Linked DNA regions of Sus scrofa. Each later gene encodes a partner of the first gene's protein in a complex. Links are inferred from orthologs where the notes say so. Each region holds a gene or a part of one and is shown on either strand. Other genes may lie near its edges. The genes, in order: PPFIA1, PPFIBP1 and ERC1.

Region 1 (3,651 bases):
GTCCCTGCGCGGTTGGTTGGAGGTCGGCCTTGGCCGTTCCCGAATCTTGGCAAGAGGAGGGCTGAGGTCTCCGGCGGTGACTGTGTCCTTTCAGTCCTGTCAGTTACTGCTTCCTTCTCGCTTTTGAAACTGTTTTAATTCACGTGATGGGTTGTGAGATCAACATGTCCATGAAGGAAACAAAGTGTTAAAAATAAAGGCAGTGAGTAGGTTTGATTGATCCTTCAAACTTGTTCATGAGTCGTGATCATTCTTTGCTGGCGCATTGTCGCACATAAAAGCTATGTCAGGAGAGTAGCCTGTGGCCAGTTGCAGCTTTATTGTGGTTTGGTAAATAAGGGCAATTTATGAGCACAAATGAGCCTGGCTCTTCAATGGTAGAATCCCTTTTGTGGAAAGCTGGCACATTTGCCGGCAATTTAAAGGTGGTCAACAAGGCCCAGGATTATGTCGAAGTTGCAAACACAGCAGCCTTGTCGCCAGTGCCCTTAGCCTCTGAGAATGTGTCGTAGCTTCAAAGCCCCGTTTCAAGGTCATGTAAACAGCCCTCTGGCCGCTTCTCTGGGGCTGCTCCCCGCACTGATGGTTCTCACTTGTTGAAAGCAGACCCTGGCCTACGGGGACATGAACCACGAGTGGATCGGCAACGAGTGGCTGCCCAGCCTGGGCCTCCCGCAGTACCGCAGCTACTTCATGGAGTGCCTGGTGGACGCGCGGATGCTGGACCACCTGACCAAGAAGGACCTCCGCGGGCAGCTGAAGATGGTCGACAGTTTCCACAGGTGGGCGCCGCAGGGCCGCCTCGCCGGCTGGCTAGAGGCTGTGCCTGTTGCCGCGTCTAAAGTTTTTCTTTCTCTTTCTTTTTAATCGGAAATAGAAACAGTTTCCAGTGTGGAATTATGTGCCTGCGAAGGTTAAATTATGACCGAAAAGAACTGGAGAGAAGAAGAGAAGAAAGCCAGAATGAACTAAAAGGCTAGTATGGTCTGTTGCGTTGATCCGGCATAGTTCTTGCTTCCCAGTGTATTCGCAGCCTTGGTGATTTCCTATTTTAAAAAAAAAAGCAAATCAGGAAATGCGTTCAGTGGAGGAGACTCATCTGGCCCCCTGGAGGAGGAGGGAGGGGTAAAAGGAGTGGAGCTAGCATCCGCCTCCGCGACCAGAGAACTGGCGCCTGTGTGCGTGGGCTTATACCTCAGTCATTAGGTCAAGGTCTCAGGGTAAACACGTTCCCCACGACGTTAGAGAATTCTTGTTTGGGTGACATGCCCCGCGTCTCCCAGAGATGCTGGTACACAAAGTAGGTAACTCCAGGAGTTCCCATCGTGGTGCAGCGGAAGCGAATCTGACTAGGAACCATGAGGTTGCGGGTTCAATCCCTGGCCTCGCTCCGTGGGTTAGGGATCCGGTGTTGACGTGAGCTGTGGTGTAGGTCGCAGACGCGGCTCGGATCCCGCGTTGCTGTGGCTGTGGTGTAGGCTGGTGGCTACAGCTCTGATTAGACCCCTAGCCTGGGAACCTCCATATGCTGTGATTGCAGCCCTAGAAAAGGCAAAAAAACAAAAAACAAAACAAAGTAGGGAACTCCAGGGATGCTGGTTACATGCTGTAGGTAGCTCCAGAGATGCTGGCACACGCTGTAGGTAAGGTAGCTCCCGAGATGCTGGCGCACGCCGCAGGGAACTCCAGGGATGCTGGTGACACACTGTAGGGAACTCCAGAGCCGAGTACAGGATCCTGCTGGTCTCTCTTGATTCTTCTCTCTTTGTGTACCCAAAATGCGTTCATTGGGATCATTTCTCCATCCATCTTGATGCCGGGAGCTTTTAGGGCTGCTTCCGTCTGAAGGTGCATCCTTCTGTCGCCTCGCTTTTCCTCCCGTGGGCTGGCAGAGGACCCACTCTGCTGTCTGTGCCTGTGGCCGAGGACGGAGTGTAGAGCATCTCGTGCTTCCTCGTCTCCTCTGGAGACGGATGGAGGGCATCCTTTGCGAGAGGCGCCTTCTCGAGGGAGGTCCTCCCGCCGCAGAGGGCACTCCCTTGATGTCACCGTGAACAGTGCTCCTCTGGCCATTTGTCTGCGGACTCGAGGAGCACGGAGGACAGGGAGCTCTGCTCCCAGGCTGGAGGGACGGGCCTTGGAGGCAGATGGGCTGTCCTTCGCCGGGGAGGGCCAGGCGTCTCGGTTAGAAGCGGGACGTGGGTGTGGGAGGACCGACCGGGAGGCGGGGTGCTCGTCTCACTCCCTGTGCCTCTGAATGGGATGAGCCAGTGCAGGGGAGCCTTCGACACCGGCTCAGAATGGAACCTCCTGCTCCCTGGGGCTCAGGTGAAGGGTCCGGCCCGGACCCTGCTAGGGCGCAGGTTCGATCCCTGGCCTGGGAACTGCCACATGCCATGGGTGTGGCCCAAAAAGTGAAACCTCCCAGAATTTTCAGAAAATAAAGGAATCACTAATGATAGTGATAGCAATACTTATTGAACCACTGTGGGCACTGTCATAGGTTACTTTCTTTGATCCGTACGCAGCCCTGTGAGGGTGTGTGATGGTTTCATCCCTGGTTTTTACTAAGAAATTAAAGGTGAAAATTTAATGGCTGCAGAGATGGCCCATTTGAAGGCCGGTCTGGTCGTGACTGAGTTACGGGGAAGCGTGAGAAAAGCCAGTAGCCAGCATTCATGCCGTGTGTGCCTTTGTCTAGAGAAGCGTTTGGAGATGATGTGTGTGAAGCTGTTTCACTTGTTTCCCAGATCCCCCTTTTTTTTTGGCTTCTCTAGGGCTGCACCCACGGCACATGGAGCTTCCCAGGCTAGGGGTCGAATCCGAGCTGTAACCGCCAGCCTACACCACAGCCACAGCGACTCAAGCTCCGAGCCACGTCTGCGACCTACACCACAGCTCACGGCAACACCAGATCCTCAACCCACTGAGCAAGGCCAGGGATCAGACCTGCATCCTCATGGATACTAGTCAGGTTCTTAACCCGCTGAGCCACAGTGGGAACTCCAGGCTTCACAATTATAAATGAAAGGTTTGTGCTGAATTGAGCAAGCTGTCCTGACATAGTGCCAACTCTTGATGACGGGAACAAAGTGTATGGGAGTCTGTATCTGAGCCATGTTCGTGCCTGATGGGCATTCACTTTTTTTTTTTTTTGTCCTTTTGTCTTTTTAGGGCTGCACCCAAGGCATATGGAGGTTCCCAGGCTTGGGGTCCATGTGGAGCTGTAGCCACCGGCCTACGCCACGGCCACAGCAACGCCAGATCCTTAGCCCGCTGAGCGAGGCCAGGGATCCAACCTGCGTCCTCACGGACGCTCGTCGGGTTCGTTCACTGCTGAGCCACGACGGGGCCTGGCGGGCATTCACCTTCTTATGTGTCCTTCCGTCCCTGACCCCTGGATCCTCGTCCTGAAGGTGAACGGGGTAATGACGTCGTTTCTCCTGGGCTCACGCGGAGGACGAACAGCTTCCGCTCGGATAGAAACGGGCCGAGCCCGGTGTGTAAGCGCCGGAGGGCTGGTGCGCCCGCCCGCAGGGCCTCCCCGCCCTTGTGGAGTCGCGTCGTGGTCGGGAGCCGGGGGCTGCGGGCACGTGGGCGACGAGCTTTTCCGACGGCTCTCCCTCACCCGCAGACGTGCTCGTCTGGAGC
Region 2 (3,651 bases), on another chromosome or scaffold:
ATTTGTACCTATTTGTCTGCCTATCTAGAGATGACTATGTTCCTGTGGGAATGTGAGCAAATTCAGACTGAAAATCACAAAAGACAAACGTATGACTTCCATGGCTATAAAAGAATAAATTACCAGAAATCCAAAATCAAAGAAAGTCTGTTTGAATCTGGTATCCTGGATTTGGATCCTGGATCAGAAAAAGGACCTAGTGGGAATATAAATTGGTGCATCTACTATGAAAAGCAATATAGAGGTTCCTCAAAAAACTAAATATGGAGCTGCCATATAATCCAGCAAGCCCATTCCTGGGCATATATCCAGATAAAACTTAAATTTGAAAAGACACATGCACCCGTATATTCATGGCAGCACTATTCAAAATAGCCAAGAATGGAAACAACCTAAATGCTACACACACACACACACACACACACACACACACACACACACACACACACAATTGTATATTACTCAGCCATAAAAAAAGAATGAAATAATGCCATTTGTAGCAACGTGGATGGACCTGGAGATTATCTTACTAGATGAAATAAGTCAGAAAGAGAACGACAAATACCGTATGTTGGCACTTCTATGTAGAATCTAAAATACAACACAAATTAACTTATTTATGAAACAGAGACAGACTCACAGACATAGAGAACAGACTTGTGGTTGTGAAGGGGGAAATGGGATAAGGGAGAGATGGATTAAGAGTTTAGGATTATCGGAGGCAAACTGTTGTATGTAGGATGGATAAACAACGAGATCCTAGATGGCTCAGGGAACTATATTCAATATCCTGTGATAAACCGTAATGGAAAAAAATATGAAAAAGTATATGTATATATAACCGAATCACTTTTCTGTATAGCAGAAATTGACACAACACTTTAAATCAACTATACTTTAATAAAAATGTTTAAAAATGGAGAAATTTTAAGTATTCTTTTTTTTTAAAGTAAAAAAAAAAAAAAGGACCTAGTGGAAAAACTGGTAAAATCTGAATAAAGTCTAAGGTTTAGTTGAATTTGATTTTGTCTGTATTAATGTCTTCGTTTGTTGAATATCCTGGTTATAGAAGATGTTGGCATTAGAGGAAGCTGGGTGAAGGGCCTGTGAGTCTCTGTACTCTCTTTGGCAGCTCCTGTATAAATCTAAAATTACTTAAAAGATTTTTAAAAACCTCCCCTGGAGTTCCCGTCGTGGCTCAGTGGTTAATGAATCTTACTAGGAACCATGAGGTTGAGGGTTCGATCCCTGGCCTTGCTCAGTGGGTTAAGGATCTGGCGTTGCCATGAGCTGTGGTATAGGTTGCAGACACGGCTCGGATCCCACGTTGCTGTGGCTCTGGCGTAGACCAGTGGCTACAGCTCCGATTAGACCCCTAGCCTGGGAACCTCCATATGCTGCAGAAGTGGCCCTAGAAGAGGCAAACAAACAAACAAAACCCTCCCCTAAAGTGTTTTGATTTAAAAGAAAATGACCCCTGCTTTTAAAACCCCTTAAACTAATTAATATCTTATTTACATTGTAAATACTTAAGCATTTCAAATTTTTTTTAATCTGAAAGACTTTTAATTAGTTGGTAATAGTGCACATGGAAATGTTTTGAATGTGCATCTCAATCTTAGATTAAAAATGTTAAATGTGGAGTTCCCATCATGGCACAGCGGAAACAAATCTGACTAGGAACCATGAGGTTGCAGGTTCGATCCCTGGCCTCGCTCGGTGGGTTAAGGATCCAGCATTGCCGTGAGCTGTGGTATAGGTCACAGACATGGCTCGGACCTGGTGTGGCTGTGGCATAGGCCAGGGGCTACAGCTCTGATTGGACCCCTAGCCTGGGAACCTCTATATGCCGCAGGTACAGCCCTAGAAAGACAAAAAGACAAAAAAAAAAAAAAAAAAAAAAAGTTAAATGCCTTTTCTAACTTATTATTACATTAAGAAATTAATCTAGAAAAGAATTTGGGAAATCATTTTTTAAGGCTCAGTTAGTAGCCTTAAGGATTTAAACTGTCCTATAATTTTATTTTAAAAATATTCCTATAGTAGATTAATTTTTCCCTTGCAGGAAATGTTATCGGTAAGGCGTGTCTGAAATGGATATTTTCCTTGTTTATTTTCTGGGTGTGTTTGCAAGCAGACTAGTGCTTTTCTTGACACTACCGCCCCCAAATCACTTTCTAAGATAATTTGTTTTGGTGTGTTTGGTATGTTTTTAAAAGTTCCCAATAGCCACAGACTTGGTGAAAGTTACTTCTTAAAGGAATCGCCTGGTGATCTGTGCTGCTACTTAACAACTTCTTTATTTCTCTTCTGTCCTTACCTCTCACCGAAAGCTTTGCATCGATTAATATAATTATTCCAAACCTCTTATCAATAAAACACTATAATCTAGAAGCAGAGATTTCTTGAGTCTGGGGGGTTAATATCACAGAAGCAATCTTCCACTTTTCCCCCAAACTGTGATGTGCCTGAGCTCAGAAAACCAACTCATCAGTGATCATCCCAGCTCTCAGTTATCTGCTTCATCAAATCAAATCAAAGCAGGTTACTTTCTGTGGTGACCCAGGGAGTGCTTTTTTTTCTTTTTTAATTTTTATTAGAATATAGTTGATTGTGTTGTGTCGATTTCTGCTGTGTAGCAAAGTGACACAATCATACATATATATATATACATTTTTCTTCTAATACTATCCTTCCAAAATGTTCTACCTCAAGAGAGTGAATATAATAGAACCTCATTGCTTATCCATTCTAAATGTAATAGTTTGAACTACCACCCACAAACTCCCCGTCCATCCCACTTTCTCCTCCCTCCCCCTTGACAACCAAGGAGTGCTTTTCTTTCTTTCTTTCTTTCTTTCTTTCTTTCTTTCTTTCTTTCTTTCTTTCTTTCTTTCTTTCTTTCTTTCTTCCTTCCTTCCTTCCTTCCTTCCTTCCTTCCTTCCTTCCTTCCTTTCTTTCTTTGGCTGCACCCACAGCATGGGGAATTTCCCAGGCCAGGGATTGAACCTGTGCCACACCAGCAATCCGAGCCACAGCAGTGACAGCGCTCAGTCCTTAACTCCCTGAGTCACCAGGGAACTCCTGGGAGTGCTTTCCAAACTGTGCTTTTCAAAGCTGTTCAGTCCCATGATCCTATCTCAGTAGACGAGAGAAACAGGTAGAAATTAGCTTCAGTTGGAACAACATGAATTTTGGTTTTCATTTATGTTGGGGTCCTGGAGAAAATTTTGTTCAGAACAGGAAAAAGGGTTCTGTTCCTAAAGAAAAGCTTTGAAAATGCTGACAAGCCCTTGGGGGCCTATCAGTGGAGGGGCTCTTCTACTTTACCTTGAGTTTTCTGAGATGTCCCTAAGAAGGTTCTCCTGCTCAGAGAACTCCTCATTTTGTTTTGTTTTGTAGGATGACTTACTGTCTCTGAAAGTTGTAAGTGTGCTCCATCATCTCAGCATCAAAAGGGCCATCCAGGTCCTGAGGATCAATAACTTTGAACCAAACTGTCTACGGAGGCGGCCGTCTGATGAGGTAGCATCTGAGGTCAAGGTTTACACAGCATGCACTTACCATGCACATGCCTGTCCATGTATGGAGGCAAAGACCTGTTTCCTCTTGGAACCTGGGGAAGTAAAGCATCTGGTTCTCTCAGAGCCT
Region 3 (3,651 bases), on another chromosome or scaffold:
TGGCTCAGCAGGTAACAAACTCTACTAGTATCCATGAGGACTCTTTCTCTGGTCCGCTCAGTGGGTTAAGGATCTGGCATTCCATTTCGTGAGCTATCACAGATGCACTTGGATCTTGACTTGCTGTGACTGTGGCTGTGGTGTAGGCTGGCAGCTGTAGCTCAGATTCAACCCCTAGCCTGGGAACTTCCATATGCCATGTGTACAGACCTGGAAAAAGAAAAAAATTTAAAAAATAGCCCTCCCCATTGTCAGTTTCAAAAAAAAAAAAAAAAAAAAAAGACCTTACCTGCTAAAACATATATTGTTCCATTTCTCCAACCACCAGTATTTGAAAGTTCAGTAACAAAAGTAGTATGAAACATAAAAATAGATGGATATTTATTTTAGAAAGAATCTTCTAAAAGGACTTCATAATAATGAATCAGGCACATTAGACATTCTAAGCACAGGTGTATTTTTCATTTGATAGGATTCTAGACAAGATCTCTATGGTCCAATCAAATCAAACATTTAGAATGTATCTAAATCCCCGATCTCAAACTGAAATGGGGAAATTTGTTTAATTACTGTAAATCCTATTAAACCAATCTTCTCTGTAAAGTGGAAAATGTCTGACCTCTGAGGGCTGTGGAGGGTGTAATGAATGCAGAGTTTAATTAGGGCCCACTGCTGGCTCACTATAATCTATTAATTAGCATTCTCAGTTCTCTATATCTCATTGCAGTGTTTCACTTTGCTTTAAAATTGCACCCTTCGTTTTTTGGACCAAAGTGATACAATTTTAGGATTGTGTGGTAATTACAGTGGGTGCAGGAAGCATCTATTCCTGCCAGCACTAGTATTTAATTAGGGCAAGGGGCGGAATCTAGATAAAGCAGTGTTCACCCTCCCTCAGTGCATATGGTTTTTTGGCATCATAGCCCTGCGGACTGTTTCCCTTCCCCTGGATTGAACTGCTGAGTCCCCACCATAGTCTTTACAGAAGACTCCAATATTTTGCCTTTGAATGTAGCTTGGTAATTAGAGAGGTTATTGCCATTGCTTTTTATTCACAGATCTTTTAAAGTATAGGCATAATTAGCTGCCTGAATTACTTGAAAATAAAGAAGCCAGTATTTTTTTCCTCATTAAAATGAATATTTCCAAGTTGCTTGATAATAAAAACCATCCTGGTGATAGGAATATTTTCAGCAGCATCACAAAGGTACTTTGGAGGCTACTTAATCCAATGATGAATTTAATAACCTCAATTTAACATTCAACTCCTACCAAAATCCACTTTATATTTTACATATAATCAATCACACCAAGTTGCCTTTCTTCCACCCTAAATCCTTAAATTTGAAGAAATAAAAAATTCTTAAAAAAGAAAAAAAAAAAAAGGATCCTGAAGTTAAACTTCATAAATGTGAAAGAACTGCTACTCATTTTTGGTACTTAATACATATTTACACCATTAATATTAACTTTTAACTAATATCCATTCTATACTGTCAACATATGAATCTGCCTTGTGATAGTTTAAGATTTTTTAAAATATTTACAAAGGTAAATCTTAATACTACACCGCACACTTAAATTACATAGCCTGAATAATTTTTTTTTTTTTTGTCTTTTTAGGGCCACACCCGAGGCACATGCAGGTTCCCAGGCCAGGGGTCCAATCGGAGCCTGACTACAACATAGCCACAGCAACTAAGGATCTGAGCTGCATCTGCGACCTATACCATGCCGGATCCCTAACCCACTGAGCAAGGCCAGGGATCGAACCTGTGTCCTCATGGATGCTGGTCAGCTTCATTGCCGCTGAGCCATGACGGGAATTCCACAGCCTGAATAATTTTGACGACAGACCTTAGAGCATGTAGGAAAATTACATTCTCACAAGATTTCAAAAAGGTAATATATGCTGAAGGAAAAGAAGAGAAAGAGAAGCTAGGGAAAAGAAATGCAAGTATGGTGAGCAACCAGAAAACAATTAAGGCACAGAACCAATTTGGAAAAGGCTGAGACACAGAGAACATAAAATACTAAGAATAACAGGAAAAAGGAAAATAAATGAGCCAAGAAGGGAAAAACCTCAGAAAGAAAAGAAAAAGAATAGCTCATTTCATTTACACACATGAATTCAGTTTCACTTATTCAGAGCACGTAAAGGCAAACACATATAAAACCAACCTGGTTTTCCTCCTGCACAACTCTATACTGTTCCTTCCAAATAGTGATTTTGGAAGCTTCATCTTTTCTCAGGGCTCGTTCTTTCTTCAGCTCTGGGCTCCAGAAGGTCTTGATGCTATTCATTGAAGAACTTAATTTGCTCTCCTTTACTTCTACATCCTTTCGCAAGAGATCATTCTCTCTTAATACTTCCTTCAGCTGTGTCTGAAGATCCATGATTGTATTATCTCTTGCCTGACGAAGAGAGTGAGGAACGGTAGATGCCATGCTCACAGGAGGGAGGTGATGCTCTCCAAATGCGATAGTGTCACTAGCAACCCCACTGCTCGCTATATTGGGGCTACTGCCCATGGCAGTCATCCTCACACCATAAGGCAGACGTCCTCCAGATCGGCCAAGTGTCATGGTGCTTTTAGGTGTTTCTGAACCCACATTTTCATGGTCACTTAGGTACATAGGGCCAGAAGTGGCATAGGCAGCATTCAAGGATTGAATATTCTCCATTGAAAGGGTTTTCCCACTGCCACCTCCGACACTGCTTCCAGAACTCCCTCCTGTACTATTGGTTCGACGATGACCCAAGCGAGGGGAACGTGGAAGCCTAGGTGAACGCCCAGGGCTCTGGTTGCTTGATTCCACCTTCCCAACTGAGCGAGCACTTCCATACATGGTTGCAAGTGAATTCAGGTGCCAGGACAAGTGTAAAGCAAAACCAAAATATGGAACTCTCTGAGGTTTCTCTATGGCTGTAAGTCCGCTTAAGGCTAATCAGAAATAACAGGTCCTCAGCTGTCCAATCTTGAAGAAATAGCTTACGCCATTATCTGCAATGAAAAGATCACACATTAACTCCTCCAATAAGAAACATTTCCCTTCTCAGACACTTTTAACTGACCCCACTTGAGGAATAGCTCCCCTTTAATCATGTTTACTCATGCATTTGTTCAGAGCACAACTTATTTCTCAGTAAACATCACTCTAAAAACATCCACCATGTCTCAAAACTGAATATTGAAACCAAACCAAGCAAATGGAAAAGAAAAAGAAATAAGAGGTATAAAGATTAGCAAGGAAAAGAAAAAAATAGTCAATGTGTGAATATACGATTTTCTAACTGGAAAACCCAACATCATCAACTGACGAGTTATTAGAACCAATAACAGAACTCAACCAACTGCTTAGGTACAGACCAATACATAAATATCAATACTTTCCTGTACATCAGTAATAATAATTAGAAAATGCATTTTTTAAATAGCAACAAAACCATAAAAACACTTTGATATCAATCTAACAAAAATGTTCAATAATTTTTGTAAAAAAACCATAAAACTTTCCTGAACAAAAGGAAAGTTATCCATGTTCAAGGATGAAAAGACAAACACTGTAAAGGTGTCAGTTCTTCCCCAACCACTTCACAGGCCAATGAAAATTTCTACGGCATCCTTCATAACCGGCTAACTCGAAAAT

The links.
Region 2: PPFIA1 (region 1) and PPFIBP1 share a complex: the UniProt entries of both Homo sapiens proteins name them as parts of the cortical microtubule stabilization complex. The link is inferred for Sus scrofa from reciprocal best matches to the Homo sapiens genes PPFIA1 and PPFIBP1.
Region 3: PPFIA1 (region 1) and ERC1 share a complex: the UniProt entries of both Homo sapiens proteins name them as parts of the cortical microtubule stabilization complex. The link is inferred for Sus scrofa from reciprocal best matches to the Homo sapiens genes PPFIA1 and ERC1.

Annotation. Positions count from the first base shown.
Region 1 is NC_010444.4:3,081,789-3,085,439, reverse strand, and holds part of PPFIA1 (liprin-alpha-1), read left to right. Parts: intron 1-606; coding exon 607-782; intron 783-877; coding exon 878-975; intron 976-3,634; coding exon 3,635-3,651. UniProt on the Homo sapiens protein: May regulate the disassembly of focal adhesions. May localize receptor-like tyrosine phosphatases type 2A at specific sites on the plasma membrane, possibly regulating their interaction with the extracellular environment and their association with substrates.
Region 2 is NC_010447.5:46,037,859-46,041,509, reverse strand, and holds part of PPFIBP1 (liprin-beta-1), read left to right. Parts: intron 1-3,402; coding exon 3,403-3,525; intron 3,526-3,651. UniProt on the Homo sapiens protein: May regulate the disassembly of focal adhesions. Did not bind receptor-like tyrosine phosphatases type 2A.
Region 3 is NC_010447.5:68,251,232-68,254,882, reverse strand, and holds part of ERC1 (ELKS/Rab6-interacting/CAST family member 1), read right to left. Parts: intron 3,006-3,651; 5' UTR 2,851-3,005; coding exon 2,182-2,850; intron 1-2,181. UniProt on the Homo sapiens protein: Regulatory subunit of the IKK complex. Probably recruits IkappaBalpha/NFKBIA to the complex. May be involved in the organization of the cytomatrix at the nerve terminals active zone (CAZ) which regulates neurotransmitter release.